2 linked regions of the Arabidopsis thaliana genome follow. The protein of the gene in region 1 interacts with the protein of each later gene in a pairwise test. Each region holds a gene or a part of one and is shown in the gene's direction. Other genes may lie near its edges. The genes, in order: GYRB1 and GYRA.

Region 1 (15,352 bases):
AGCTAATTCCTCTCCTGTCTTTCTCCCACCAAAAAAAACAACCAAATCTCTCGATCTCATCGACGACGAAGATGAACAAGAAGAACCCAGATCAGAAATCCGACATGTCGTCTTCTTCATCTTCTCCGAAGAAACAAACCCTCTTCATATCATCCTTAATCATTCTCTGGTACACCTCCAACATCGGTGTTCTTCTCCTCAACAAGTTCCTCCTCTCCAATTACGGATTCAAATTCCCTATTTTCCTCACAATGTGTCACATGTCCGCTTGCGCTATCCTCAGCTACGTCTCCATCGTCTTCCTCAAGCTCGTCCCTCTCCAATACCTCAAATCTCGTTCTCAGTTTCTCAAGGTTGCGACTCTCAGCATTGTCTTTTGTGCCTCTGTCGTCGGTGGAAACATCTCCCTTCGTTATCTCCCTGTCTCCTTTAATCAAGCCGTTGGTGCTACGACGCCGTTTTTCACTGCACTCTTCGCTTATATCATGACCTTTAAGAGAGAAGCTTGGGTCACTTATGGCGCTCTCGTCCCCGTTGTTACCGGTGTCGTTATCGCCAGTGGGGTACGTCTTTTTCTCTACAATTCTCGTAATGAAAACGTCTTTGGTTGTTGATTTTGATTCTGCCGATTTTGAAATATGTGTTCTTTTACCTGTAGATTGTGATGTCTGATTTGTTGTTAGTTTAGAGCCATTCAAGATGATTGTTTGTGTTCCACGTATGTGTCTGAAACCCAAAATAGGTTTGCTTAGTTTCATGAATGTGATTACATTCAGTATACAAATTCAATTTTCCCTGTCAAGTACAAATTTGAGTCCTCTGTGGCTGTATTATCTACTTATCTAAAGCTTCATCCTTTAATGCGTTATTCCAGTCATGTGTTATCTAAAGCTTCAGACTTTCTTCTTGTAACTATTGCCATTCTTACATTCTACATTGTTCTGTGAATTATTTGATCTCTTTGCTAGGCCTTAGCTATTGAATGTTTTGTTTGTTGATTATGGGATTTCTGTATTGAATGATCCTGCTCTGGGTCTGCCTTTGTGGTTACAGGGTGAACCAGGTTTTCACTGGTTTGGATTCATTATGTGCATTAGTGCTACTGCAGCAAGAGCTTTTAAATCTGTTCTTCAAGGCATCTTACTTTCTTCCGAGGGGTAAATCCGTTAACTTTTCTTTTGCATTTGGTTACTCAATGAATCAGAAAACCTTATTATATGCTATAATAATGTAAAAGGTTCTGCAACTACAGTTGGATAAGCAAAGTAGGAAGCTGAAGCTACTAATGCTCATCTTAGGGTTTAACAGATCGTTAAGTTTTCTTGCAGAGAAAGGTTGAATTCGATGAATTTGATGCTGTACATGTCTCCAATAGCCGTCATTGCTCTTCTGCCTGTCACAATTTTTATGGAGCCGGACGTGATGAGTGTGACACTAACACTCGGAAGACAACATAAGTACATGTATATACTTCTGCTGGTTAACTCTGTAATGGCTTATTCAGCCAACTTGTTAAACTTTCTGGTTACCAAGCACACAAGCGCACTTACCCTGCAGGTAAAAATACTGAAAAGATTTTGAACTTAAACAAAACTAGAGGAGTGCCTAATTGGATCAAACATGTGTATGTTTAATGTTTCAGGTCCTTGGAAATGCTAAAGGAGCGGTTGCAGTTGTGATATCGATCCTGCTTTTCCGAAACCCGGTAACGGTGATGGGAATTGGCGGGTACAGTATAACCGTTCTCGGGGTGGTTGCTTATGGAGAGACTAAACGCAGGTTTAGATGAAGCTCAAAGACTGATATTTTCACTTAACTCATTTTTGTATCTTAACCTATAGACTTATACTTACTTATATATGTAGGTCGATTCTATGACTTATGTTCTTTTTGTTCTGGAGTTGTTGTGTTGCAAACTTGCCAGACACTTTGTATTCACTCACTCAGAACCATAAAATGATCCAGTTAAATTCATTTTTTTAGTTCGATTCTACCAATACGCAGGTTTAGATGAACGCAACACAACAATTCATGTATACGTATAAAGAAACTGAATCTGTCAAACTGTGGCATGTTGCAACCTTCTGGCATCAAATGAGAAATCGGGTCTGCCCATTCCACATGGAAGATGACCATTGTTTACATTCAAAACCAGAATACAATGGTCTCTTCCGGTCTTCAACCCATTTTCCCTTTGCAGAGTTACAAACTGAATAGGAAACCAAAATGCATCACAAAACCAGACTATAATATCTTGAGATTCAAAAACTTTGGATCATAAACTTACTAAATAGTAGAAGACATAGCCAAAAAAAAATGAATACTAAAAGCTGTGGAGAGCATATAAATACCTGAAGAAGATGAAAACTGACGTTATACATCAAAAAGAGAATCATGAAGCGAGTTTTCCTCAGAAACCAGGAGTAAAATCACCAAAAGAATGATGATAATCAAGGCAAGTGATACACTCCCTCTGAATATATGACTTTTTACCACCAGACATCTTAGAGATTATCATCAACAAAGAAAACGCTTAAGCTCTTCTATATGAATTGCATTGGTTTTAATTTTGTTCCAAGCTTTTTGTTTGACAACAGTTTTGATACTTCGGAAAAGAGAAGTAAATAAATATAAACATAGGAAGGGAGGAGCTACATGTCTACTATTTTTATTTTATAAGCCAATCAGAGCGTTTCATGTCATACCCCACTCTCACCTCTCGGGCAATTTCACACCCACTCTCACCAATCGCGTGATGAGCGCGTGTATACGTTTTCTGTGGGTTCTAACCCACCAAATGGCTTGTTTTGAAACACACTCGCTCCTTTAAAAAAAAGCCTCGAGTGCGTGATTTCAGTGTCTTTCTCCTTTAATTCCAATTCAAACCCAACCGAAATCAATTGAATTTTTCAAAACCATGTAAACCGAACCGAAATTAAAACACAAACGACAAACTAGCAATTGTCACTTCCACTATTGATCCAACTCCGACGAACCAGATTGATAATTTTGATTCGATTCCACACAGATAACATATAGTCCAAACCAAACGCAATTCATAAGAGAGCCAAATTATTACGCTATGTTCGAAGCTTTTTTAACTTGCCACAAATCAATTCACAAAATAAGAAATTGTGCTCAGAAATTTTCAGAAGAATTCTCGATCATAACTTTATGCGGTGGTGGTGGCTGTGAATAGCCAACGGAGATTGCTCCATGAGAAATTGAACCGGCATCGCCGCCGGTTTCATTGTCCACATAGTAACTCCGATTGCTGTGCGAGTTTATCTCAGTCTCCCTTATTGCGGTAATGGTGAAACCAGTCCACATATATTTTAATCAATGGATTATTGGGCTTTTTATATTAGGCCCATTAAATTCATCCGGCTTTTAAATAAAATGAGTTTTGTGATAGTCCGAGACCATTGCATTCCTCAGTGAATACAACAACATTATCTGTCTTACTAAATGTAAATGACCATATCAACAAAAAAAAATCGACTTGTTTGTCAATAAATAAAAATTCCTCGATTTCCATATTCATATAAAAGAAATAGATACCAAATTGTTGGCAAAAACAAGCAAATAATACATATTTGTGGGGAGAGAAACAAAAAAAAAAGCTACACTTTAATAGAAAGCTAATAACATATTGTTGACTTATGATAACTTGTAACGTGACTTCACACGCGTAGTAGTATTACTTAAAACTTAGGTCACGTGAACTGGATACTTATGAACCGAGTCACCCCACGGGTTACCCACCAATGACTCGTTAGCCGGAATCGTTCTCAATGCTCTCCACACAATACTATTACATTTAAAACCCGACCCAAACGCCAACTGCCAAACCCTATCTCCTCGTTTGACCCGACATTTAGCCTCCACGTAAGCCAGCTCGTACCACAGCGACGAGCTTGAAGTGTTTCCAAAGCGGTGCAAAGTCATCCGAGACGGCTCAAGATCAAACTCACTAAGTCCAAGACCTTTTTCAACCGCGTCAAGTAACGCTCTACCACCAGCGTGAATACAGAAATGCTTGAAACATAGTTTAAAATCCGGAACATATGGACTAACCTTTAACCGGAAAAGCTTACTCTTTACCAAAAAGAGGATAAACCGGAGTTTTTCAGATAAAGGCAAAACAAGCGGACCAAGTGCTGTTAGATTCGTCTTTAACGTGTCACCAGCAACAACCGTTAGTTCTTTAGAGAGTGCGACTCCAACGATACCTTTACTATCTTCTTTTTGTTCAGCACAAGTGTAGTGTTTATCGCTAGAGCCTTTGTGAGTCCTTACAATATGAGTCAATTCGTACTTAGACCGGACTCGGTCTTGACTCCGGTTTGAGAGCATAACCGCAGCGCCACCTACTCGGAATAGACAGTTAGGGACTAACATTGACCGGTCGTTGCCTCGATACATGCTTAGAGTCATGTTCTCCGTACTAACAATAACTGCGTAGGTATTAGGGTTTGCCTTTAGTAGATTTGTGGCGAGGTCCACGGAGATTCCTAAAGAAAGTTCAAGAAGCTATGAAGAGTGGTAAACTCTAAAAGGAAAGATAGAAACTGGGGAGTTGGCTGATAAAGATGGACAGTAACGATTGCGTAATATAAATTTATCGGCCTCGTCAAGCCCCGGCGCTGCATCCCATACCGGAGAGATTGTAAGTTTTGACGTCGGTTTTAAGCTTGTACCGGTTTACGATCATGGACGAGAGAGATGGGTTAGGGTTAAACAAGCTGCAGTTTACGATGAAGATTCCGACTTCTCTCGGTTCGATTCCGGTTTTCTTAAATAGTGAGTTAAGAGCTCCGAAGATGACTAATTCGGATTCATGTCTCGCCTCGTACATTGATGGAGTTGGTGGAGAGGTTAACATGCAACGTGGGGAGTACGTATCGTCTCCTAAACCGGACCGGTTTAGTATCCTCGTCATGAATTGGATTGTTTCTTCGGTGTAGAGTTGAGCGCCTTTGGCCATGTTGAAGAACGTTTCGGATGAGATTTTGCAAGAATCCGTGGGTTGGTGACATGAGAAATCCACTAGGTAAACCGGTTTAGACCGGGTGGTTGAGTAGGCATAGAAGAAGATGGATATCAGGAGTAAACCGATCTTGACCGGAAAAGGAGAGAAGAAGTCATGGTGAAAGTGAAGTAGATCAAGTTCAAAGAGAGATAGAAGGATGAGTATAAGCAAAAGAAGCTTGAAATCTGCCATTGCAATGAACATATGAGAAAATATTGGGCATTGGGTGGGTTTTAATTTATAAGCAACGTACCTTACCAATATTTATGATATGAATAGAGATGGCGTTAAGCGCGTTTGTGCCGCGGAAAATGTGGTCTGCGTTTTAAGGTTCACCTATTCAAACAAAATTCAGAGACATCGAAAATGAAAAATCCTTAATGGTTTTTTTTGGGCTGCAAATCATAATCGGAATTTATTTAATTGAAGTACAAGAACTTTGGGCCGGGTGGGTTTGAGTAACCCGGCCCGACATGAGTACCCGTAAAACTTGTTTGAAGCAGAAGAAAACATGTCTTTGACTGTCACCATCAACTCCTCCATGGCTCTAGTTCAGAGACAACACTCTTATCTTCTCCGTTATTTTCGTCTCATGGCTTCTCGTCCTCGTCCTCGTCTCTTCTCTCACTCTCTATATCCTTCACTTCACCGTCACTCCTCAGCTCTCAGCTCTTCAACACCCAGGTATTGTATTAATTAGCTCATTTCTTCTTTTCACTTTTCCGGTTTTGGTTTCCGGGGAAATTACGCAGTGAAATGAAGATTGAATAGAAGAAGCAATACCAATTTGCCTCCGATGATAAAAATCATTCCTTTACGCGATTGCTGATAGTTTCCAAGTTTTCTCGGAATTGGGAATTTTATGTTATACTACTTTTCAAGTGAAAGTCAATTGCTTTCTTCAGCTCCTTCAAAAATGTTTTTCGTATTTGGTCACTTTCAGGGCTTTAGTTTACTATTAACATTTAGCTATGTGATTCGCTTCCATAGTCTGAAGCAAAAGTTGGTAGTATAACCATTATTCACATTTGGTTTCAGGATAAAGTTTCAGTTAGCCAATGTTTTTAGTCAAAGACTTGTACAAAGAAATGCGGTCTCACCTAAAAGTTTTATGTCATCGACCATGGAGTCTCTCCAAGAGAGCTCTACCTCTAAGGATTATAGTTCCGAGCACATCCAAGTAATTCCTCTAAAGATCTTTTTCGTTTTCTTGCTTTTTTAGATGATTTGCTGTTTTTATGTTTGTGTACTCGATCATTGGAACGATGTTTTCTTCTATAGTTATTGAAAATTCCTACTATGAATCTCTTAGTTTCACTTTTTTGGGTTATTGTATCTTAAATTCTCTATGGTGTATTAGGTGTTGGAAGGCTTAGACCCTGTCAGGAAAAGACCTGGGATGTATATTGGTAGCACTGGATCTCGTGGTTTGCACCATCTGGTAAATGCCTTTTTCTTTTGACGTTCTTGGTCGTGACTGGCTCCTATCAACTGGTTATATCCTTCCCAATACATGTTGTTTCTTAGGTTTATGAGATCCTTGACAACGCAATTGACGAGGCCCAAGCTGGTTTTGCTTCAAAGATCGACGTTGTTTTACATTCAGATGATTCAGTCAGCATTTCAGACAATGGACGTGGGGTATGTGATTTGTTCCACTTACTCATCTTCGCGTATATTTGTAACTGAAAACATGGATATTGTTTTCTTATGCCGAGATGCAAGAGAAAGGTTAAGTGGCACCCAATGGCATTCTGTACTCTGTAGTTATGTGTAGGAGCCAATTTTGGTATTCCTAGCTGATTTTTCTCAAAGCTTCCGGTTTTATATCTAATGTGCACCAAGAGTAAACAATATATGTCAATCATGCTCTATCTTATTCATTTACGTTTTTTTTATTTATTTTGTATATAGCTTTCTTTCATCCCAGAAGTAAAATTTGTTGCTAATATCAAAATGCATTTGGTCACTTTTATTCATACAAGCTTTCTGTCTGCAGATACCCACAGATTTGCATCCTGCAACGGGAAAATCGTCTTTGGAAACTGTCCTTACGGTACTGCCACTTGACAAACATCTATTAGTACACCTTATACTTATATATTGTGTAGAAAGCTATCTATGTTTGTCTCAATGTTGATTCACACGTATTTTTGTTTTTGTTATCCTAACATTTGGTCCTGCAATTAATCAGTGCTTTTTATTTGTGCAGGTCTTACATGCAGGTGGTAAGTTTGGTGGCAAGAGTAGTGGGTACAGCGTGTCTGGTGGATTGCATGGCGTAGGTTTATCGGTTGTGAATGCATTGTCAGAGGTGTGTTGTAACCGTTAGTACATTGTTGCCTTTTCTGCTAAATTGAAAATATCCTCTGTCACATGTTTGTAATGATAATTAGATCCTGCGCATTTGATCGTATAGGAAGGGTTTGCTATGTTATTGCAAATTCTTTATTTTGTGTGAAAGTTAATCTAATGTCCAAACCTGATATCATATGAGAAAGATCCTGGAATGGTTCTGTACTGAGTGCTGGGGCTATCAATTTCAGATACTTTCAACTATAAGAAACTGTTATATTTGGCAAGACATCAGGAGTCTATTAGGATAATATGCATACAACTAATTATGGAGCTCCCATTATTCACAGGCATTGGAGGTTATAGTTCGCAGAGATGGAATGGAGTTTCAGCAGAAGTATTCTCGTGGAAAGCCCGTAACAACACTTACATGTCATGTCCTACCACCAGAGTCAAGGGGGACTCAAGGGACATGCATCCGGTTCTGGCCTGACAAAGAAGGTTTTGCCTGTTTTCCGTACTTATCTATTGTACCCTCCCAAAGATAGGATTTGATGACTAACTTATCTTTTCTGAAACAAACTGGTAATCAGTATTCACAACTGCAATTCAATTCGACCATAACACTATTGCTGGACGGATCAGGGAGCTTGCTTTTCTCAATCCAAAGGTATAGGCAGCCGTGATATTTGATTTGTGTGCTTCACGGAGCATTCTTAACCTGCTCGTTTTAGTGAGTTCTTATTTAGCAGAAGCTAGTGTTCGACTGTTTCCTTTGTCATAATCAAGAGGTTCATATTGAATGCAGGTTACAATCTCTCTAAAAAAGGAGGATGATGATCCAGAAAGGGACGTGTATAGTGAATATTTTTATGCTGGAGGGTTAACTGAATATGTTAGCTGGCTAAATACTGATAAGGTGAGGCATGTACTGTGGGTCCCTTGTTATAGTTGTATAAAATCTCAATATTTGCCAATCGGTGATGCTAGACTTAAAATAGTGGCAATTAAATTGGAATGGGTTTTGTGAAACAAAATGCAATGGGGATGGTACTAATACTTTTCCTTCTCAGCTTACTTGATGGTAAGATGTGTTGTCTGTTCATTATTCTTTAGGGCTCTATTTAGCATGAGCATGGAACCTTTGTAAACTTAATCTCTATTATGTTAGCTCTTATGCATTTAGGTCTCTGGTGTTATAGGTCATCCTTATTACTTTTCCCTTCCGAAAATATGAATTTACAATTCGTTTTGTTCAGAAACCGCTTCATGATGTGCTGGGTTTCCGGAAAGAGATAAATGGCTCCACCGTTGACGTTTCACTTCAGTGGTATTTTACTCTTCCTTCTACATACGTCGTCTAATATCTGCTCATGTGATGAACAGATTATAATCTGGGTTGCATTTAGCGTAAAACCACATACTTGAACATTTTGGCTGACTGATTTTATGGTTTACTTTATCTAAACTGGATGGAAATATGTTGTACCGTATGCGGAGTTGATGACTGTATATACAGTTCTTCTAGACGAATATGTGTATATCATGGTAGCTATCCAAAATTTATATGGATCTAAGTATATAATCTCGTTATTGTACCAGGTGCTCAGATGCCTATTCAGACACGATGCTGGGATACGCGAATAGTATTCGGACCATAGATGGTGGGACACATATAGAAGGTGTGAAGGCTTCATTAACAAGAACTCTAAATTCCCTTGCAAAAAAGTTAAAGGTTATCAAGGTGGGATACAACTTACCAACTGCGTTTTTTCCACTTTATATTTCCACTCTTAGAGGCTTAGAGCCTTTTTCCCCTTCTCTTTTCCTCCTTTTTCATGGAAACTGCAAATGCCTAATTGCGGTTAGTTGGTCATTATTGTGGTTGAAAGAGTCTTCTGAGATAATGTAGGTCAAGGGTTATATTATCTATTCCTCTCCATGGATTGAGACTAAATTTAAATACTCATCTGCACTTAAAAGACATGCTTTACGGACAATTAATAATGTACTACCATGATTGAACTGTGAAACATGCCAGTTATAGAGGTTGTTTTTTGCTTACATTTAAGCATTTATCTTGACCTGTTCTGAAAAGGTTGCTAACTCATAGTGTAACTTATTGTTGTTGGTTATGTTTTCAGGAAAAGGATATTAGCTTAAGTGGGGAACATGTTAGGGAAGGATTGACCTGCATTGTCTCAGTCAAGGTTCCGAACCCTGAGTTTGAAGGTCAAACAAAGGTACTAGGGAGCATAATGATATGTTGACCCTCATTTTTGTCAACAATCTCTGGTCAGCAGGCCATAAGTTTTCTTGGATTCTGTTGATCATTTTAATTTTTTTGTGTCCCAAAGACAAGACTAGGAAATCCAGAGGTGAGAAAAATTGTTGACCAATCAGTCCAGGAGTACCTCACGGAGTACTTGGAATTGCATCCGGATGTACTTGAAAGCATTATTTCCAAATCCTTGAATGCGTACAAGGTGCGACATTGAAATACCTGCTCATACTGTCACATCTTCACCTACACACACATGCACTCAAACACTCAAACATGTGTTTTATCCCTTGAGAAGCATTTTCTGATATCTGTGATTAGCGTATTCTTTGATTGAGTATGTGTCTCCTACAGTATGTCTAGTTACTAACTTCAACCAAATGACCATGGATTTTCCTTGCTGACTCTTTCTTTTTAGGCTGCTCTGGCTGCCAAGAGGGCTAGGGAGTTGGTAAGATCAAAAAGCGTTTTGAAGTCATCCTCACTTCCTGGGAAACTTGCAGATTGCTCATCTACAGATCCTGCAGAATCTGGTATGCATTAACCAATATGAAAGTGCCTTGTAAGCTGTGAAAGTTAGTCAGTTTATTGACATCTATCTCCTATGCTACCAGAGATTTTCATTGTCGAAGGAGATTCGGCTGGTGGCAGCGCGAAACAGGGTCGTGACAGGCGTTTCCAGGTAAAAAAAATCATTCTGCTCAGCGTGTCACTAACAGGCTCTGCTTCTATTTTGTTAGTCTGTAACACTGTATTTCGATCTATGCAGGCAATTCTTCCTTTGAGAGGCAAAATTTTGAATATTGAGAGAAAGGATGAAGCAGCAATGTATAAGAACGAAGAAATTCAAAATCTTATTCTTGGCCTTGGTCTTGGAGTTAAGGTAATATATCCTTTTTCATATCCTGCTGTTTGTTGGTATGTTCGGAAAACTCAGTTTGACATAAAACTTATTTCAGGGAGAAGATTTTAACAAGGAGAATCTGCGTTACCATAAAATTATCATCTTAACAGATGCAGATGTTGATGGTGCACATATCCGGACACTTCTGTTGACCTTTTTCTTCAGATATCAGGTACTAGTTTAGTTTGATAAAACATTAGTTGAAGTAGCCTTGATTGCTGATTGAGTTATGTGAAATTTAATGAAATTTACTTTCTACAGAGAGCCTTGTTTGACGCGGGTTGCATATACGTTGGTGTTCCACCTCTTTTCAAGGTAAGCTCTTAGTATCTATAATCTTATGCTTCAGATTGAACGGAATTTTTTTCTAAAGCTAGTCTCTCTGTGAAAACGATCAGGTTGAGAGGGGGAAACAGGCGCACTACTGCTACGATGATGCAGCTCTTAAAAAAATCACTGCTTCGTTCCCTGGAAACGCATCCTACAACATTCAGAGGTTCAAAGGTAAAACATCCTACTTCTCACATCATGAATGTGTTCTTTTGGAAAGGATAAATAACTATGAAAAGTAATGTATAGTAGTTGTTATGTGTTAGCTATTAAGATACTCTTGAGTGTGTGCATAACGAAATCTAGATTAGTCTCAACTATTGGATTCTATGTAATGTTTCTTGCTTTTGCATCTGCAGGTTTGGGTGAGATGATGCCTGCGCAGCTATGGGAAACAACGATGAATCCAGATACAAGGATATTGAAGCAACTAGTTGTTGACGACGCAGCAGAAACGAATATGGTCTTCTCATCTCTGATGGGTGCTCGGGTAAGCCAATGAATTGCCAGACTCGGACTCATGATAATAGTCAATAAACTGGCATAACTCATCGTGACAATGTTATGTTCTGTGTATGTTTCAGGTCGATGTCAGGAAGGAACTCATCAAAAGTGCTGCGACTAGGATGAATCTGGAGAATCTCGACATATAACACAGCTTATAGTTATTGCTTCAGCTATATACAAACAACAAAGAAACGACTCTGGTGAAATGCAAAGGGAGACATCATCATTTCAAGGTTAAATCATATAGTCACAGGCCAACAGGATTTTGTTCTTCTTCTGGCCTATAAAGGACAAAATTCATTGTTAGGATTATCTCTTTCAATGTCAAAATTTAGCAATTCACAAGGCTCTTTGTTGGGCGTTTCTTTCCATTGGAACTAGAATTTTTCTAGAGACAAGAGAAATTTGCATTCACTAGGTATTTACTATATATTATGACTTCAACAATTTGGCATTCCTGAAAATCATGCATGCGACGAAGTTAAAACTAATGATTAGAAGGAAGATGAGAAGGTAACTATTGTGCAATGAATATCTTCTCTGCCTGTTGTATTGATTTTAATTGTATTCGAGGTTAAGTTTTGACTGATGTTTTACTAGCGATCGCAGAGTGATCGATAATTAACAAGTTTATTTTTCGATTTGGTAGGTATATAGTGAATTAAACATGATTTTTGTTCTTCCTGAACAACCTAAAGCAGTGTTATGAACGCATCACGCATGTAACAACCAGTCAACCATATTAGTGTGACTTTAATTCATTGAATAAATGAAATTTTTTTATTTTCAACAAGGCTTGTAACGGTTGATAAATCTACTCAGAAAACTTCTTTTTGTTTGTCTTGCAAATACAAACGATACGTTTCAACTCTTTTTTTGGCGTCCAATAATACTTCTTAAAAAATAATTTGTTTATTGTCATGAGCTACACGTGGGAAGACAAGTCCTATCCATTATTACTACACACTACTCCAACATTTGCCCACATTTTGAAAAAAACATTTTTTTGTAATTCAATTATTCGACACAACCAATCCCATCTCTTGTTTCACTTCCGCCCTCCATCTTTCTTCGTGATTGAGAGAATCTTCAACGAAAGAAAGCAACTTTTTTTGGGTGAAATTCACAGAACAACCAAGGTTTTTCTTCTTCTTCTTCTTCTCCAGTTCCTACAGGTTTACTCTTACTCATCTTCATCTTTGTCTCGTTCTTGCTCTTCAATTTCTGGTCTTTTTGTTGTTCTTGTCTTCTCGCCAAATATACTAAGATCTAAGTTTTATATCATTGTAATTATCACCAACGAACTGTTAAGACCAAATTTGATTACTCGAAATGGTTTTGGGTTTAGGGTATGAAGAACTGATCAAAAGATTCAATTTTTTATGAAGTCAACTTTCATCTGCAAATTGAGCAATCTCAGATTTCGATTGTGTTTCAGAATCATGCCTGACAAGAACATCGTAGAGGACGTTATCGGTGATTTGGTGGATAACTTCACGGAGACTGTTCAGAAGAACAAACATGGTTCCTCCTTCTTCGAACAAGAAGATTCCGTCAGTTCTCGTTTCAACCGTTTGTTTGATCGCCAGAAGCCAATTCATCATGTCTTAGGCGGTGGCAAATGTAAGAATTCGTATACAGGAACATAAATATGAGATTGGTTTTTCTTGTAATTGAGTATTGAGAGATTCCTTCAGCTGCTGATGTGTTGTTATGGAGGAACAAGAAGATCTCTGCAAGTGTTTTGATGGGAGCTACCGCAATTTGGGTGCTTTTTGAATGGATCAATTTCCATTTCCTGTCTCTCGTTTGCTATGCCCTCTTGCTTGGTATGATTGCACAATTCGTTTGGTCTAACGCCTCTGGATTCTTAAACCGGTAACTTGTTGGAGTGTTGTTGTCATTATTATTGGTACCTTGTGATTGCAATCTAACACAATGTCCTTTAATGTCTCAAAGCAGCTCACAGTCTAGAGTGCCTCGCCTAGTTCTTCCAAAGGATTTCTTTGCTGAAGTCGGTGTGGCCGTTGGAAAAGAAGTTAACCGCGGTTTGTTGTTTCTTCAGGACTTGGCTTGTAAAGGGAATTTGAAACAGTTCCTCATGGTGCGTTGTTTGTTTCAATAACCACAATCTTGTTTGTATAATGTATTAGCACTTTCATTACTATGCTAAGATAGAAACTTTGATCACAATATCATTTTTCAGGCTGTAATCGGACTATGGGTAGCTGCAATGGTCGGGAGCTGTTGCAATTTCCTAACTGTTTTGTATATCGGTGAGTGGTTCTTATTAGTGTATCCTCTTTTGAGATTGGAAGTTGAGTAATACAAGACTTTAAAGGGATGCATTTTATGTGTGTGTGTGAAGGGTTTGTTGGGGCACACACAATGCCGGTTCTGTATGAGAGATACGAAGACGAAGTGGATGGTTTTATGGATTCTATGATCATGAAGTTTCATAGTCATTACAAGAAGCTTGATACTGGGTTTCTCAGTAGAATCCCAAGTGGAAAGTTTGGATTAAAGAAGCGTGAGTGACTAAATCACTCAAGCATTTTCTTATTTTACCTTGTTTGTTGTTAGAACAATATGGATTATGGTTTGCTAAATGAATGTTTTGAGAATATTATTCATTCATGTAGATTTTGTGTATTTCCTTACTAAACAATACCTTGTCCATGTATTTGTCAATACCTTGGTTAATAAGAGAATCATCATATCTGTCAAAATTATACAAGTAGATTGAGAGTTCATTAACTCAATGTCTAAAAATGTAAGACTTAAAACAAGTTTGAATCAAAATTATTTCACAAATCAAAAGTATGGTTTTCTTATTTCGTAAGAATCGTTGACTAATATTGACCGGCTGGCTAATAAGAAGATCAGATAACTCTACAGGTATGGGATCCACCATTGTCAAACATTTTACACGTGTCAGCTTCCTGAGCTTCGAAGCCTGAATGTTAAAATTAAAAAATTTAAAAGAAAGAAATATAAAAAGAAGTAAATCAAAGAAAATGGAGTAAAGAAATTGATCCACGATCGATCAACAAAGTGAGGTTAGGTTCCATCTCCACCTCTTTCTCTCTCGAATCTTCTCCGATTAAAGGTGCTCTTTTGCTTATGAAATTTGTGTTTCTTAAGCTAATCGAATTTGTTTTCTTGATCGTTTTGATGTTCTTTTTTTTTTTTGTTATTGTTGTTGATTTGATGTGATCCGGTTGTATTTGAAGACGAAATCGATTCGAAGTGTTGAGGTTTAGTTTGGGGTAAAATAGATGATTCTCAATCTGTTCTTATTTGTGAATTATTTTGTATTTCTGATTCTCTGTTTTTTTCTGTTTTTTTTTGTTTTTTTTTGGATTTGAAACCTAGAGAAAGAACCTTGTTTCATTAGTGGGAGATAAAAACCTCTAATGATTTGATATAAATTTTTGAACTTGTACAGATTCGAATCGATTTCCCTTGTACCCTCTCTTAATACTGGTTCTTGCCTGACAGGAACAAGGTCTGGTTTACAAAAGTCTCATAGATGTCGAGTGGAACAGTGAGAAGGGTTTCACGTCAAGATATACAACTGGTAATAACAACAAAAATAGATCATGATGAAGGAAGGCCTTTGGTTTCATTGTCTGAATCTGCGACAATTTGAATTCGTCCTCTTCCAACTCAATAAAACTTACTTTTGGTTTCAGGTTCAAAACCTTATAGAACGATGCCTTCAACTTTACATGAATCAGAAAGAAGTTGTGGATACTTTACTAGAGCAGGCTAAAATCGAGCCTGGGTTCACAGAACTAGGTAGCCACTCAAATACTCTGTTTTCTTTTCATAGAAATTAGCATCTGATTCTGTAATCCTTGTTCATTGATGAATCTGGATTCATTACTGTGAATGAAAAGGTATTAATATATCTATTACCAGTTCAGGACATCTGTAGCCAAAATCATGTGTGAATGATTTTGTTGTTGCTTAAAACTGAAATCTTATGTATTGTTTGGTT
Region 2 (15,372 bases), 170 kb from region 1:
TTGGAGTTGGAGGGTCCATATAAAGACGAAGGAAAAATATAATCATTTGAATAGACCTCTAACAACTTACGTGCGAGGCACAAAGGGGGATTATAAATCTTCACATTAAAATACCAAGGATGTATTTAACTACAAGTGCTCCTCATGTTTTAGTCTTTTATGTTAATATAAGCTTGTCGGTGAAACATATTTGTTTAAGATTGGGCACTATGTTTTCTGTTGGATTTCAGCTTCGGCATGTTTCTTGGTTTAACGAATTTATTTTTTCAAGGAGTTCTATCTCTAGTTTACAAAGTTTGGAAGTATATATTCAACTTGATGTTATGTTTATGATTTGTGGTTCAATTCATTCTCGGTTTCTTCTTTTAATATGATTATATTTTGAAAAAAAGAAGAAGAAGATCTTTCTATTTATATGTTTATTTAATAGAATCTCTTGAAATCCTAATCAGACATTACAATATTCATAGGGATTATAATGTCAACTTTGGATAGTTAGTTAAGTTTGATATAATAAAGCTGTCAAAGAATATTTTTACTAAAAAAATTTGAGAGCAATTCATTTGTTTTTCATCTGACATTGTCGGCGGATGTATTCTCCTGCTTCCGTGAGAGAGTTTTCAAACCTTGTTTTGACCAATTACATATACTGATGATATACATTGTACAACTTCTTGACCCTTTTATTTGAATAATCTTGACGCTAAGTCAGAACATATAAAATTAAATCAAGAAAAACTCAAACTGTAAGTAGAAGGTCATCTGATCAAGAAAGCTCGCAAAGAGGTAATCTGGCGTTGGAGAAGAGCTTGCGTTGTAAGATCTTATATATCTGATGGGTTATATCTTATATGAGATCAAGTCTTGGGTAAAAATGTACCAAGGATCATTGTACGTATAAATTGACATTGATAGCGAGTATGAGTATGAGAGATACCTATATCACTTAAAGTGAACGAAATTCATATGGATAACAAATGAGATGAGATCAATGTTATCTCGTCTCTTTCTATTTGAAAATAGTTCAATTAGTATAAGCAGACATATTTTTTTTGATTTGAATCAATATATACTACTGTTTTTACTAAACTCAACCAGTCATGGAATAGAAAAGATGGTGAAAATAATCAAGGCTTTTAACTGAAGGGAAATTAAAGGTTTACCAAACACTAACCAAAAGGATAGAATTAGACGTGTTACCAAGCAGCACCTTATTTGGTCATCTTCCTCATTCGAAGGTTACTCGCACTTCCTCTGCACACTTCTTCCTCTCCATCTAACCTCAGTACTCCTACAATCCTCTAAGAATCCATAGATCAACTGCTGGGAAAAGCTTCGCGACAATGTCTTGGCCTACGGATTCTGAGGTTATTCTTCATTTTTTTTTCCATTTACGCAACGAATCTGCTTGTTATCGTTGGTTAACTCGGTGCCAATATCCTCCACTGTGTTAATTTTCGTTAGAATTAGCGACGGAGATGTGTTTTCCGGTTAACCATTTCCCCGGCGAATTGTCAATCGCACATGTGATCGAACAATTTCATTAGTTTCTATGTGTGGAGCTCAATGTATATGCTGCAGATTGCCGCGAGTGTTTGTTTTTTGTGTTTGGATGTTTTCGAAATTTGGCTTTGGTGTTAATCCTACGAGATCGTTCATTTATGTCTCCAGTTAAATTCCATAAAGGAGGCAGTGGCTCAGATGAGTGGAAGAGATAAAGGAGAAGTTCGAGTGGTGGTCGCTCCTTATCGTATATGTCCTTTAGGAGCTCACATTGATCACCAGGTTGGTTTCTGATTGTAGCGATGTAATCATTGTTTTGATTCAACTACAAGAGTTAGTCTGATTCATACCATTTCTTTGTGAATTCAAATCATCTTTGGTGTTCACAGGGTGGAACTGTATCAGCTATGACGATTAATAAAGGGATCCTTCTTGGTTTTGTTCCATCGGGTGATACTCAGGTGTGTATTAGTTATCATGATTCTTATGTGTTTTGGTATACCTCTGCGTTTCTTATAAGTGAACTTGTCAATCAAATTCATATGTTTGACATGCTTGGATTCTTGCGCAAATAAGCACCATTCTAATTTTTAGATGAATGTCTCGTTGATGGTATAATGCAATTCTCTTAAGTAGCATTCCGTATTCTGGGCTTGGTTCAGCTTAAGAGTAGATGGAGATTCTAATTGTGTACAATATAGTATCCTGGTCTCTTTTTGTTTCTCACCTGACCTGAGAAAGCATTAAAGAATTGGATAATTTAAAATGAATGTGGTTTGTAGACAGGAGACAAACATATATTTCGGAGCTGGGAAAGTTCCTTGTGTCTGTGTGTTTCACTTGAGCCTTGAAGTCTCTGTACCGTTTATTCTCTTTCTAATTTATATGCAGGTCCAGTTGCGCTCTGCACAATTTGAAGGAGAAGTATGTTTCAGGTGTGCATATCTTTCATGATCTCTCATCTTGTCGTTAGTGTTTTCAAACTTTTATATCCATCCTCAGACGTGCATAAGCTTGTTACTAAGCCCCGTATAGGGTAAAGTGCACCTTGGATATTGTGGAAGTATTTCGATCTGGCCAGCATTCCATTATATCTCATTTTAGTATGAAAATGAACTTATCTTTCACTTAAGTCTTAGACATTTATCAGATTCAACCTTTAAGTTTGCTCATAATTCCCTAGAATTCATTGGAAATTGAAGACCCTTAGCGCTGTAAGGGATACAAAAGTATCCGTTTTGGATGAGCTTGCATGATTTTCTAGTTTCTGTTTCATGCATTCTATTTTACCTTTTCTAAAGGTATTTTTGTTTTCCTTAGTGCATTTCAATTTTGTACTCGTCATGGTGGTAAAGGAATTGAAGATCTTCTATGCATAATGCTAATAGCTTTTCGGGTTCTGAAATTATAGAGTAGATGAAATCCAGCACCCAATAGGCCTAGCAAACAAGAATGGTGCAAGCACGCCATCTCCATCGAAGGAAAAAAGTATCTGGGGTACTTATGCCAGAGGAGCAGTTTATGCGTTACAGAGCAGCAAAAAGAATCTCAAACAGGTAACAGGTTCAAATTTGGTCTTCTGGTTATAGCTATAGATAAAGTTTACCATTAATGGGAAATGAGGTTTAGCCTGCACATTTGCTGTGTGATCTTCTGGGGTTCCACATTTACCCTTATTTGGTTGCCATACCTGATCTTTTAGGCCTTGATTTCCCCATAATAGTTGACATAATTGTATTTAATGGAAAAGGTATTTGAATATGTTTCTAAGTAATTGTTTTGATCTTTGAAGGGCATTATTGGTTACCTCAGTGGCTCAAATGGACTAGATAGCTCCGGGCTTAGCTCATCAGCTGCTGTAAGTAACTGAATCCCGCCTGTTTTTGTACAGCAGAAATTTCTCCGGAAAGACAATTTTTACTGCTCTTTAATAGTAACTAAACATTTTTAGCATATGAGAGTGGTGTTTACTTGTCATTTTTGGAAAATGAATCTTGTATATTATTTTATGATCGCCAGAAATGTGACAGGTTGGTGTGGCATACCTGCTAGCTCTAGAGAATGCAAACGAATTGACTGTATCCCCAACAGAAAATATCGAATATGACAGGTATATTCCCTTCTAATGTAACCAAGAAGCTCTTCTGTATTGCTTCATGAGCAGTTGTTTCTCTGTGAAACCAGCAATTAGTGCTGCAAATTGGTCAATTTATATGTGACTTACTGCGTCTGCAGGCTTATTGAGAATGGGTATCTGGGTCTGCGGAATGGAATTTTGGATCAATCAGCTATTTTGCTTTCGAATTATGGGTGTCTAACATACATGGACTGCAAGGTAAAATTCCTTGATTTGTAAGTGATATAGTGTGCAAAAAAGCAAGAAGCTTGTTCATGTGGCAAAACCAAGACTGTTCAATGGGATGCCTAAGATGTTTTTGATCTCTAAACTGAAAATGACTCACGATCAAATCAGATCTACAACATTCTCATTGCTTTCACGAGAAAATAAGTGTTTAATCTTTTCAATTGCTTCGATTTTAATGTATTTCAATGCTGAGTTCACTTCTTCCTAAAATGAAAATGAATGGTTAGAATCAGGAGGCCTTGAAGAAATCCTTCCTAACCAGCCATAGATAGGGAAACTTTATTTTCTTCCAGAAACTGCCATCTCAGAAAAACTGTTTGAAATATGCAGACTTTGGACCACGAGCTTGTACAGGCTCCTGAACTGGAGAAACCGTTCAGGATATTGTTAGCATTCTCAGGCTTGAGGCAGGCGTTGACCACCAACCCAGGATATAATCTGCGAGTTTCTGAGTGTCAAGAGGCAGCAAAAGTTCTTTTGACGTATGTGCAAATCTGTTTGATTCATATTTATCTACATTTTCGCTTATTTAGATTTAAATTTCAGTGGAAATGCTGCAAAGTTTATTTCTCTATTGCTTGTGATACTCATTTTTCTGCATCACAAGATTCACACCCTTCTCTTGATTTACTTTTTCTTTTCAGTGCATCTGGGAACAGTGAGCTGGAACCTACGTTGTGCAATGGTAAAAAAACTTTAAGTGTGGACTTTAACTTATTCGTTGCATGCTGATTAGTTTTTCTTTGTTGCCATGTCTCTAACTGTCCCACTGAATAGTTGAGCATGCGGTCTATGAAGCTCACAAGGTAAGAAAATAAGATTCTTAAGCTTTTGGTAAAACAGGTTCCACCTATATCAGGCCTATGTAAATATGTAATACAATAATACTTGTTCGTGCAGCATGAGCTGAAACCGGTTTTAGCTAAAAGAGCAGAGCATTATTTCTCGGAGAACATGCGAGTTATCAAAGGCAAATGTTCTTGAATTCTTGTAGATGTCTCTTTATGTGCATGAATGATTCATTAAGCTCTTTATGATGCTTAACGGACTTTTATGAATGTTTGTTCTTAAATTTCAGGACGGGAAGCCTGGGCTTCAGGGAATCTTGAAGAATTTGGAAAGCTAATTTCAGCATCCGGCTTGAGTTCCATTGAGAATTACGAATGCGGTACATTACACTCTCTTTTCTTCTCTCCCAAATGCAACATATCCTATAGTGAATACAGACCACTAGTATGCTTACAGACATTATTCTCTCTTAGATTCATTATTTTGGTTTTAAATTCTGTGAGTTTTGTGAAGGTGCGGAGCCACTGATCCAGCTATACAAGATTCTTCTGAAGGCTCCTGGTGTATATGGAGCTAGATTCAGCGGTGCAGGTTTCAGGGGATGTTGTCTAGCCTTTGTAGATGCAGAAAAAGCTGAGGCAGCTGCTTCATATGTGAAGGATGAATATGAAAAGGCCCAACCCGAGTTTGCTAACAATCTAAATGGAGGAAAACCTGTTCTCATCTGTGAAGCAGGTGACGCTGCTCGTGTTCTTCTCTGATCAATCCTGGAGTTTTTGGTTTCTTCCCCACTTAAACTCGATTTTTTTGTCCCTTATATCTCTCACGCTTATTGATTCTTTGCTTGTTTATCTCTTTTTGATCCTGTCTGAGAAATTCTCTGGTCTCTTTGGTCGGAGTTTCATCATTGCTTGATACATTTTTTTTGCTACAAATACATAATGTAAATCATTCTCTACCGTTTTCGAGTCGATAGAAGAATCGCAAACTTCAAAAATGTGACTAACATTTCTCCATAAATTTGTTAAATTTTCAACAATTGGTGAATTTAGTTCTGTAATTGATCTAACAAAGACACTATACAAGTATGAAATTAGAAATTGAAATCGAAAGTTAGTTATTATAATCTTGTTTGTATAAAATAGTGTATATCTCAAATAGAGATACAGATTAGTTTTTTGTTTGGACACAAAGACCCCCGCCAAAGTATTGAAATTCGCGCCTGAGAAATTCTCCGGTGTGGCTCTCTAGGGTTTTAGCACTTTAATCCATTTGTACTTGTAAAAATCCCTAAAACCCTCTGGGCATGACTCCAGTATTATGCCATTCCACTGCTTCAATCCCTAACCCTAACTCTCTCATGTCTCTCTCCTCCACTCTCCGTCTCTCTTCCTCCCTTCTTCGCCGCTCCTTCTTCCGATTCCCCCTCACCGACCCATTATGCCGTCTCCGCCGCACTGAACCCTCCGCCACGCGTTTCTTCTCCTCCCGTACTCCTCGGTCCGGCAAATTCGTTGTCGGTGCTGGTAAGCGCGGAGATGAGCAGGTCAAGGAAGAGTCCGGAGCTAACAATGGCGGTTTGGTTGTTTCTGGGGACGAATCTCGTATTGTGCCTTTTGAGCTACATAAGGAAGCTACTGAGTCGTATATGTCGTATGCGCTCTCTGTTTTGCTTGGACGTGCTTTGCCTGATGTTAGAGACGGACTAAAACCAGTACATCGGAGAATTCTGTTGAGTGACTTTCGTTCGGCTCAAAGCTACTGATATTTTTAAGCTTAGTCAGTGGTATTGTTCCTTCTAATGTTCGATTATTTTGTCTTCCAGCTTTGCAATGCATGAGTTGGGGATGTCATCTAAAAAACCATACAAGAAATGTGCAAGAGTTGTTGGAGAGGTATATTATTGATTTTTGGAAAGTGTTTTCTCAGTCGATTTCTCTAAATATCTTATTCTGAAGAACGATTTGTGCTGTTGAATTCTTTGGGTTTTCAGGTTCTTGGTAAATTCCATCCGCATGGAGATACTGCTGTTTATGATTCTCTTGTTAGGATGGCTCAGGTAAATATCTGAATTCATGGAATGTAGTCCAGTCCTCAAATAATGTTTCAGGCACGATTCGATTCTTCCCAAACTTCTGACTTTTTTGTTTTAATACCTTTGTTTTTTTGGCAGAGTTTCTCCTTGAGATGTCCACTTATCCAAGGCCATGGAAATTTTGGCTCAATAGATGCAGATCCTCCTGCTGCTATGCGTTACACTGAATGCAGACTCGATGTGAGTGCCTTTTACCTTACTTTCCCTTCTAGTTGAAATGGTTTTCCCTGCAATTCACTTTTTCTAGTTGTTTCACTTGTCTTTGCTATCTATAGTGTATCTCTCATCTCTACTTTTTCTCTTGTCTTGAGATGAACATGTATTTTTGTCAGTGTTTTCAGCTGATTGTACTTATTTTTTTTCTGCAGCCACTGGCAGAGGCAGTACTATTGTCTGATCTGGATCAAGATACGGTAACCTCACTATTAATTTGTTGCCAAGTTTACCGATACTCAACTAGATGGTCCTTAACCTCTTTTGTTTTGGCAGGTGGATTTTGTGGCCAATTTTGATAACTCACAAAAAGAACCAGCAGTGTTGCCTGCTCGTCTTCCTGCTTTGTTGTTGAATGGAGCTTCTGGGATTGCGGTAAAATAATCAAACAAATCTTAAATCTGAACTCCTTAATAGATTTTGTTCGAGATTTCTTCAGTTAATCTTGTGCAGATTTTCCCTGCTGTATGAGATTGAATATGCAGTTGAATCTTGATCATTTCACATTGTTTAGGTTGGCATGGCAACAAATATTCCCCCTCATAATCTTGGGGAGTTGGTAGACGTGCTTTGCGCTTTAATCCATAATCCAGAAGCAACGGTATCACTCATCTCCCCTTTGTTTTTCTGTGATTTATCAATTTGTGGGTCTTTTGTTTTACATGAAAAATCCTCTGTTTTATAAGTAGACAACTCATAAGATTTTGTTTCCACTTTCTTCTTCGTCTGGGCAGCTGCAAGAACTGCTGGAATACATGCCTGCACCGGATTTTCCAACTGGAGGAATAATAATGGGAAACCTTGGGTAACTCTTTGCTTTCCAATTTCTCCCCAAAGGGATCTTATACATTAATGACTTTTGTTTGCCCACCTCGTTTGCTAATTTTTTGAGAGTAGGCTATCTATAGGATCAAATAGAAAGACTCACTTCTAAAGTGTGAAACTTTTTTTTTATGGAAATAGAAAAGCATTTTGTTTTGTTTTGATCTATGATTCTAACAGATTACAGAAGCTGTACCTATATCTTAAAAGGAACCTAGAAAATGAGTGAAGAGGATGGTCCAGTTAATAGTTTTCCTTTATTTGTCTGTCATATGCAGTTTTTGAATCATCATGTTTTTTTCTGATGGTGTGAGTGATTTTTTAATATTCTGAAAGCTTATATGTTGTGTAGTACATTTACTCTCGAGTTTGTTGAATACCTTTATTAAAAAAATAGTTTGCATTCATATGCCATTTCCTTTTACAATGTTGGATTCTTATAATTTTCTAATGTGTGTTTGCGCTTTCAAGGGTTTTGGATGCTTACCGAACTGGCCGAGGGCGAGTTGTAGTTAGAGGAAAAGCTGAAGTTGAATTGTTGGATCCAAAGACAAAGCGGAATGCAGTTATTATCACAGAGGTGATCAATTTAGTTTTTTAGATTAATGTTCAGATCTCCATGGATGAGGGTTTCAAAAATGTTTATTAGCAGTAGAGTAATGCCTTTAGTGTGACTTTATTGCAGATTCCTTACCAGACAAACAAAGCTACACTTGTCCAGAAGATTGCCGAACTTGTTGAAAATAAGGTACAACTAAACTTGCGACATCTAATGTTTATTTTGCTTCACTTAGCAATATGTACTTATTTTACTCAGAGGTGTGTTACATTTCTAGTATGTCCTTATATGCTTGCAAAGTTTCTTCTTTATTCATTGATGTTGGTGTTTGTTTTCAGACGCTAGAGGGCATAAGTGACATACGTGACGAGAGTGATCGTAATGGGATGCGTGTGGTTATTGAGGTATTACACTGTTTCCTCTGCACTTAGATGTATTAGTCTGCTTTAAAATTTCATATTGGAAGGTAATTAAGATAATTTCCAATACTTCTCTATAGCTCAAAAGAGGAGGGGATCCTGCACTTGTGCTTAATAATCTTTACCGGCATACTGCCCTTCAATCAAGCTTCAGCTGCAACATGGTGGGGTGAGTTGCATCAACCGATAACTTCTTATTTCCTGTACTTTTTTGAAGAGTGGGCATATAAAAGAACTTGGGCATTTTCCAGGATGACTAGTTGAAAATTCTCTAATGAGTATGTTATGCTTGTAAATATATTAAGGATCATGTATTCACATATGCGTTTTTCTTTATCGTAACTGGATTATGGTATTCTGTGTTTTACAGTATCTGCGATGGAGAACCCAAGCTAATGGGATTAAAAGAACTACTTCAGGTGACCACTTGTCTATGTAAATCATTTATCTACGTAGCCCACAAGGAGTAATAGAAAAGTGAAGATCAGAGATAGGATATTTACTTCTGTGCTACTGTAATCACATTTTAAAGTAAATTTGTTGATTACTTTCTGTTTCTTGCTTGTGTGTAGGCATTTATAGATTTCAGGTGTTCTGTCGTCGAAAGGCGTGCAAGATTCAAGCTTTCACATGCACAACAACGAAAGCATATTATTGAGGTGCGACTAGAAATATTTAACTTTCTTAAATCTGCTCGTGAAGACCATGATGTAATGATGTAAAGCATTTTTTCTAATATCTTCACTGTATATATGCTTAGGGTATTGTGGTTGGGCTTGACAATGTGGACGAAGTAATCGAACTCATCACGAAGGCCTCAAGTCATTCCTCTGCTACTGCTGCTTTACAAAGTGGTGAGCTATATTTTACTTTGACAATATAATCAATGTAACAATCTTGAACTGCACATTATAGGTTGATGTATAAACAGAATTCGGAAAAGTGAGCGAGAATTAGGAGTCAAAAAGTAGACTAGAGCCAATTTTTCTTAGGTGGACTGATAGATGTAGTCTAGGATGTACACTATTAAAAGAATACATCTTGTGGTGAACTCTTCCATATTACATTTGAACATTATATATTTCTTGTCTTTTTATCTGGAACTGCTGGAGTCTCATTCGTTGTAAGATTTGATCTTAATTGCAAAGATTTCTTAGGGATTTATGCTTTGTAAGTCTCTATTGTAAGGGACGATACCATATATTAAAATTAACACTTGTCAAACATTTACTTATGTAGAATATGGTCTTTCTGAGAAACAAGCTGAGGCTATACTGGAGATAACTCTTCGAAGGCTAACTGCTCTTGAGGTGCTTTCTTATTCTCGCTAAGTTCAATTTATGAAACTTGTAGGCTTGACAATGTTCTAACTAGATTCTCCCTTCATAAATGCAGCGGAAAAAGTTTACTGATGAAAGTAGTTCACTAACAGAGCAAATTACAAAGTTGGAGCAGCTATTATCAACCCGAACAAACATCCTAAAGGTGACACACTCACTTTTTAGTTATCTGTTCTTTTGGCTATTGATATTAGAAATTTAGAACACCTAGATGCTAGTAGAATGATAGATGCATCAATATATGTACTCCAAATTTGTAAGCTTGACTGTTTGAGTCCACTGAGGTTCAAAATCTAGTCCATGCATTATGATGTGGTATAAGGATTCAAATGCTTCTTCCATTTCTTGTTTGGTACTTATTTTTATATCTGTAAAGCTGCTTACTATATGTTGCTGTTCTGGGCCAATGTTAGGAAGATAACTGATACATGATGATTTTCTTGTAGACCAAAATTGAACTATTTGCTTCGTTTACTTCATTGTATATTACTTACTACTTTATTCTCTTCGTTGTTTTTCTTGTATTTTTCTTTAGTTAATCGAACAAGAAGCAATAGAGCTGAAGGACAGATTCTCAAGTCCCAGGCGTTCAATGTTGGAGGATTCTGACAGTGGTGATCTAGAAGATATAGATGTTATTCCAAATGAAGAGATGCTGATGGTATGTTGCATACTTAAACCTAGAAAGTTTCTCAACGTTGAAATTTTTGTTGTTTGTTTTGTAACTTTTGATATGGATGACTATAGGCAGTCAGCGAAAAGGGCTATGTGAAGAGAATGAAGGCCGATACATTCAATCTTCAGCATCGTGGAACAATTGGCAAATCTGTTGGGAAACTAAGAGTTGATGATGCAATGTCTGACTTTCTTGTTTGTCATGCACATGACCATGTCCTCTTTTTCAGGTATGTATACCTCAAAATTTCCTTTGTGTTTGCTACGCACATGGATATTAATTTTCTGCCTTGTTGTAATTCATTGCTTATACTTGTTGTACATTCAGTGACCGGGGTATAGTTTACTCAACCCGTGCATATAAAATTCCAGAATGCTCTCGCAATGCAGCTGGTACACCTTTGGTTCAGGTAATTACATATCTGTGTATCTATGTTTTCCTTCTGCTATGTCAAAAATTATTCAATTTTATGAAAGGCTAATGTTTTGCTGTGTTCATGTGACTTGTGGAAGCAGATATTATCCATGTCGGAAGGTGAAAGAGTAACCTCCATTGTTCCTGTTAGCGAGTTTGCTGAAGATCGCTACCTCCTGATGCTTACAGTGAATGGCTGCATCAAGAAAGTATCTTTGAAATTATTTTCAGGAATACGCTCAACTGGAATCATAGCAATTCAGTTGGTTTGTCCCCTTTTTCTTCTTAGTCATATAGGAAGTCTTCTTAACAAGGTTACTCTAACAAAATTATTTGTCTTCAGAATTCTGGTGATGAACTGAAATGGGTTCGTTGTTGCTCAAGCGACGATCTTGTAGCCATGGCATCCCAAAATGGAATGGTCGCCTTGAGTACATGTGATGGTGTAAGTTGTGGCTCTCATTTTTTCTAAATGATTCATCTTTCATGTAAACCTTTTAATACTTGAGCAAACTCTGATGGCTTTTGTTTGTTTAGGTTCGCACACTGAGCAGAAATACAAAGGGAGTGACTGCCATGAGACTCAAGAATGAGGATAAGATAGCGAGCATGGACATCATACCTGCATCTCTGCGGAAAGATATGGAAGAGAAGTCGGAAGATGCTTCACTTGTGTATGTTTTTCTTAACTTATATCTGCTGATGTTTGCTCTAGAAACTTACTTATGTCTTACTGTCTTCTTTTGTTAACACAATCACAAAAGCAGGAAACAATCCACGGGTCCATGGCTATTATTCGTGTGTGAGAATGGCTATGGAAAGCGTGTTCCTCTGAGTAGCTTCCGGCGTTCGCGTCTGAACAGAGTTGGTTTATCTGGATACAAGGTAGGATCTGGATTTTCACCATTTTTGGTTGTGTTTGTGTTGATTTTTCCCTTACATCTAAATCTCAATTTGTCAGTTTGCTGAGGATGATCGTTTGGCTGCTGTTTTCGTTGTTGGTTACTCCTTGGCTGGTAAGTATACACTGCCACAAATACGGATTTAAATGTTCTTTGATTGCTGTTTATATATAATCTCACCATTGGGTTTTCTTGCAGAGGATGGGGAGAGTGATGAGCAAGTAGTTCTGGTGAGCCAAAGCGGAACTGTGAACCGGATCAAAGTCAGGGATATCTCAATCCAATCTCGCAGAGCACGGTACTCCCTTCATGTGACAGTCTTTTCAAATGTATATTTTATATGGTTTCTCATTTGATTGTTAATTTCTCAGGGGAGTGATTCTTATGCGGCTAGATCATGCCGGCAAAATCCAATCTGCATCTCTGATCTCTGCAGCAGATGAAGAAGAAACAGAAGGAACTCTAAGTAATGAAGCCGTAGAAGCCGTTAGCCTGTAAATTTTACAATCCCAATTCCACCAGTTTTTGAGACAATTGTCAAGTTCAGTACATAGAGTCTATGTGCTAACTCTCTTCATTTTGTTTTTTTGTGATGTTACTACGAGAAGAGAAAACCATGATCGAAGTTAGTTATTAACATTAATCTGCTTCACATTTTGTTGGGTTTAACTATATACATATGTTAAGAAAGTTGAAACCAATTATTCTGGTTATAACCAAAACAGTAGTGCTCTTCTCACTTTTGTTTTGTTGTTAACCACAAATCAGGAGAAATATTTTACTAGTGGTACAAAGACGTAAGCACCAAACCCCATAATCACAAGAGCAGCTACACCAACATTCACCAAAGGTATGTCATATGTCCGACTCTCTTCTTCACCCATTCCTCTTCCTCCTACTGCAAGAGGAGGATCCATGTCGCTCTTCTTCTGTCCTTCTTTGACTAGTAATGGACCGGTTTCTGGTTCCACGACTTCAGCATTATCCTTTAGATCGCCTCTATCTTTGGCTAAACCAGCTTCGTCTATCTTCTTCTGCTCCACTCTGTCTTGAATCTCTCCTTCACTAACCATGTCTCCAACCATCTCATTATTCTCATCCTGCTTGTTTCTCACGCCATCATCAACATCCAGTTTGATTCTTTCATCTCCCTCTTTCGTTTTTAGCTTAGGCTCTGCTTGGTTTCTCTGAGCAACATTCTTCTCTATTCTTCTTGCCTCATCACCAACAACTGGTTTTGTAAATTTATCTTCTTTCTTTGGTCCCAAGTTAATCCTTCCTCCCTCCAGCTTCTGACCTATTTCACCATCTTCCTTTTTCTCAACAACTTTGGCATGTTCCTTGGATTCCACTCTAGCATCTATGGTCGGCGTTCTGCTAATCTCTTTTTCCTTCACCTTCTGTCCAGTCTTAAGCTGACTTATATCATCATCTTTCTTTCTCTCAATTACTTTCTCTTCTTTTGCCTGTACCTTAGGTTTTAAGCTACCACCAAGGGTTGGTGTACTTTTAGCCTCTTCCTCCTTCAATTTATCTCCTATCTTTTGCTGAACTATGTGAGCAGCCTCCTTTCTCTCAACCACCTTCTCTTCTTTCGCACGTTCTCTTCCCCCTAAGCTAGGGATTGCCTCTCGCGCTTTAACTTTCGCTTCAGACTTCTCTTGACTGCCCGTTGGCACTGCTCTTTTACCCTCAACCACTGATTTATACGTTTTGGGTGCTTCTTCATTCAACGTTGGAGTGGTTTTCTCTTGACTTGTTCCCACTTGTTTCTCCTCCTCCAAAGCTTTCTTTCGTCCCAAGGTACTCCCATTAGGACCAGGCCCTCCACTTTTCTCCTGATTAGACCTCTGTCCAATCTTCTCCTGATCTTGGACTGCTTTCTCCTGTTTGTTAGCTTCCACGATTGCTGGAAACTCGATGGTCAAGAGTCCATGTGAGAAGGAGGTGCTCAATTTGGTCATGTCACAGGTATCAGGGACACGGTAAGCTTCACTGAAACGAGCCTTAGTCTGAGCAGAGAGCGGTCGCTGGCCTTGAATCTGGACAGTCCTTGTCCTCTCATCCTTTTTTATTTCTATTTGATCCCTATAAAACCCTGCCGGTTCCACACAATAAACGAGAAATTCATAAAGTTTGTTATCAATTAAAGTTTGATCTCAAGAAACAAAAAGAAAGAAAGAGAGAAGAAAAAAGACCAGGAAGATTAACGTAGAGGAAAATGGAAGATCCGGAGTTAGTCCATTGAGCTCTCGGCTTGAAACTACTCACTGTCGGAGCCAGCGGTGGCGGATGACGGCCACCTCCCGGCCTTGGTCTCTTGAAAATCGCCGCCATATATGTTTATATATAGATCACACTATATCAGGACAAAAAGTTCAAAGCCTTTACGAAATAAATGAATCAAACTGTATATGAAAACATAAAAAATGTTTGAATGATGTATATAAGATAGAAAGAGAGGTAAGAAGAGATTTTGAGATTACGGTATGGGTTTAGGATTGCTTTAGGGTATGGACTTTGTCTGTTTCTTCATCCCAAGGTCTCATATGTGTAAATAGTTTCTTGTACTTCAAGGAAAGAAGCTTTTAAGGTTTTGAAGAATATGCGTATCAACACAAAGTGATGTCGTTTTATTTGTTATTTCCATTTTTTTTTTGTTTCCATTTTAATTAAGCTAGTAGCCGATATATATATTACGTGGCATTCAACATGTGAAATTAAAAGAATCCCTGGACCTAACTAACCACATCACTTCACCGGATAAAACCTCCACCGTCTTCTTCCGCCGCAATTTCTGTCTCCATGGCCGGCGTTAACCTACAGCTCCGTCACGCATACTCCATAGCTCAATTCGTTCCAACTGTTTCTTCTCCTCCTCCTCTTCCTACTCAGCGAGTTCGCCTCGGGACTTCACCCTCTCGTGTTCTATTATGCAATCTCCGAGCTAATTCCGCCGCCGCTCCAATCCTGCGAACTACTCGCCGTTCAGTTATTGTTTCGGCGTCTTCCGTATCCTCAGCCGTCGATTCGGATTCGTTGGTGGAAGATCGTGATGACGTGGGGAGGATCCCGTTGCTTGAAGTTAGGGATTTGAGAGCAGTGATTGCTGAATCGAGACAAGAGATACTGAAAGGCGTCAATTTGGTTGTCTACGAAGGAGAGGTGCGTATTAATCAATGCAATTTTATGGTTAAGACTTGAAATTTAATTTGCAGAAAGCTTTGCCTGGTAGTGCTGTCTCATTATATGATAAAGTTTTGAGTTTGATATCA

What was found.
Region 2: the proteins of GYRB1 (region 1) and GYRA interact in a two-hybrid assay, tested with the Arabidopsis thaliana proteins (one study listed by BioGRID).

The regions. Positions count from the first base shown.
Region 1 is NC_003074.8:3,169,948-3,185,299, reverse strand, and holds GYRB1 (DNA gyrase subunit B), read left to right. Parts: upstream 1-5,513; 5' UTR 5,514-5,543; coding exon 5,544-5,716; intron 5,717-6,070; coding exon 6,071-6,212; intron 6,213-6,392; coding exon 6,393-6,473; intron 6,474-6,559; coding exon 6,560-6,673; intron 6,674-7,031; coding exon 7,032-7,088; intron 7,089-7,244; coding exon 7,245-7,346; intron 7,347-7,677; coding exon 7,678-7,828; intron 7,829-7,920; coding exon 7,921-7,997; intron 7,998-8,135; coding exon 8,136-8,246; intron 8,247-8,586; coding exon 8,587-8,657; intron 8,658-8,929; coding exon 8,930-9,071; intron 9,072-9,471; coding exon 9,472-9,570; intron 9,571-9,684; coding exon 9,685-9,813; intron 9,814-10,026; coding exon 10,027-10,141; intron 10,142-10,222; coding exon 10,223-10,290; intron 10,291-10,377; coding exon 10,378-10,491; intron 10,492-10,567; coding exon 10,568-10,684; intron 10,685-10,773; coding exon 10,774-10,827; intron 10,828-10,910; coding exon 10,911-11,016; intron 11,017-11,201; and 5 more. Other genes in the region: AT3G10290 (Nucleotide-sugar transporter family protein), read left to right, coding at 1-563, 1,054-1,157, 1,329-1,557, 1,643-1,789; KCS14 (3-ketoacyl-CoA synthase 14), read right to left, coding at 3,712-4,514, 4,660-5,236; AT3G10260 (Reticulon family protein), read left to right, coding at 12,732-12,972, 13,047-13,227, 13,312-13,453, 13,556-13,625, 13,718-13,887; AT3G10250 (histidine-tRNA ligase), read left to right, coding at 14,882-14,929, 15,045-15,150.
Region 2 is NC_003074.8:3,336,835-3,352,206, reverse strand, and holds GYRA (DNA GYRASE A), read left to right. Parts: upstream 1-5,846; 5' UTR 5,847-5,963; coding exon 5,964-6,388; intron 6,389-6,482; coding exon 6,483-6,552; intron 6,553-6,650; coding exon 6,651-6,716; intron 6,717-6,830; coding exon 6,831-6,932; intron 6,933-7,120; coding exon 7,121-7,165; intron 7,166-7,241; coding exon 7,242-7,340; intron 7,341-7,479; coding exon 7,480-7,566; intron 7,567-7,699; coding exon 7,700-7,770; intron 7,771-8,258; coding exon 8,259-8,367; intron 8,368-8,472; coding exon 8,473-8,535; intron 8,536-8,684; coding exon 8,685-8,750; intron 8,751-8,845; coding exon 8,846-8,934; intron 8,935-9,135; coding exon 9,136-9,184; intron 9,185-9,337; coding exon 9,338-9,424; intron 9,425-9,525; coding exon 9,526-9,619; intron 9,620-10,004; coding exon 10,005-10,075; intron 10,076-10,160; coding exon 10,161-10,250; intron 10,251-10,640; coding exon 10,641-10,766; intron 10,767-10,852; coding exon 10,853-11,010; intron 11,011-11,108; and 17 more. Other genes in the region: GalAK (galacturonic acid kinase), read left to right, coding at 1,344-1,367, 1,672-1,785, 1,893-1,964, 2,395-2,438, 2,915-3,059, 3,296-3,361, 3,534-3,613, 3,739-3,838 and 6 more; AT3G10680 (HSP20-like chaperones superfamily protein), read right to left, coding at 12,862-14,195, 14,296-14,434; NAP7 (non-intrinsic ABC protein 7), read left to right, coding at 14,903-15,262. UniProt on the Arabidopsis thaliana protein: A type II topoisomerase that negatively supercoils closed circular double-stranded DNA in an ATP-dependent manner.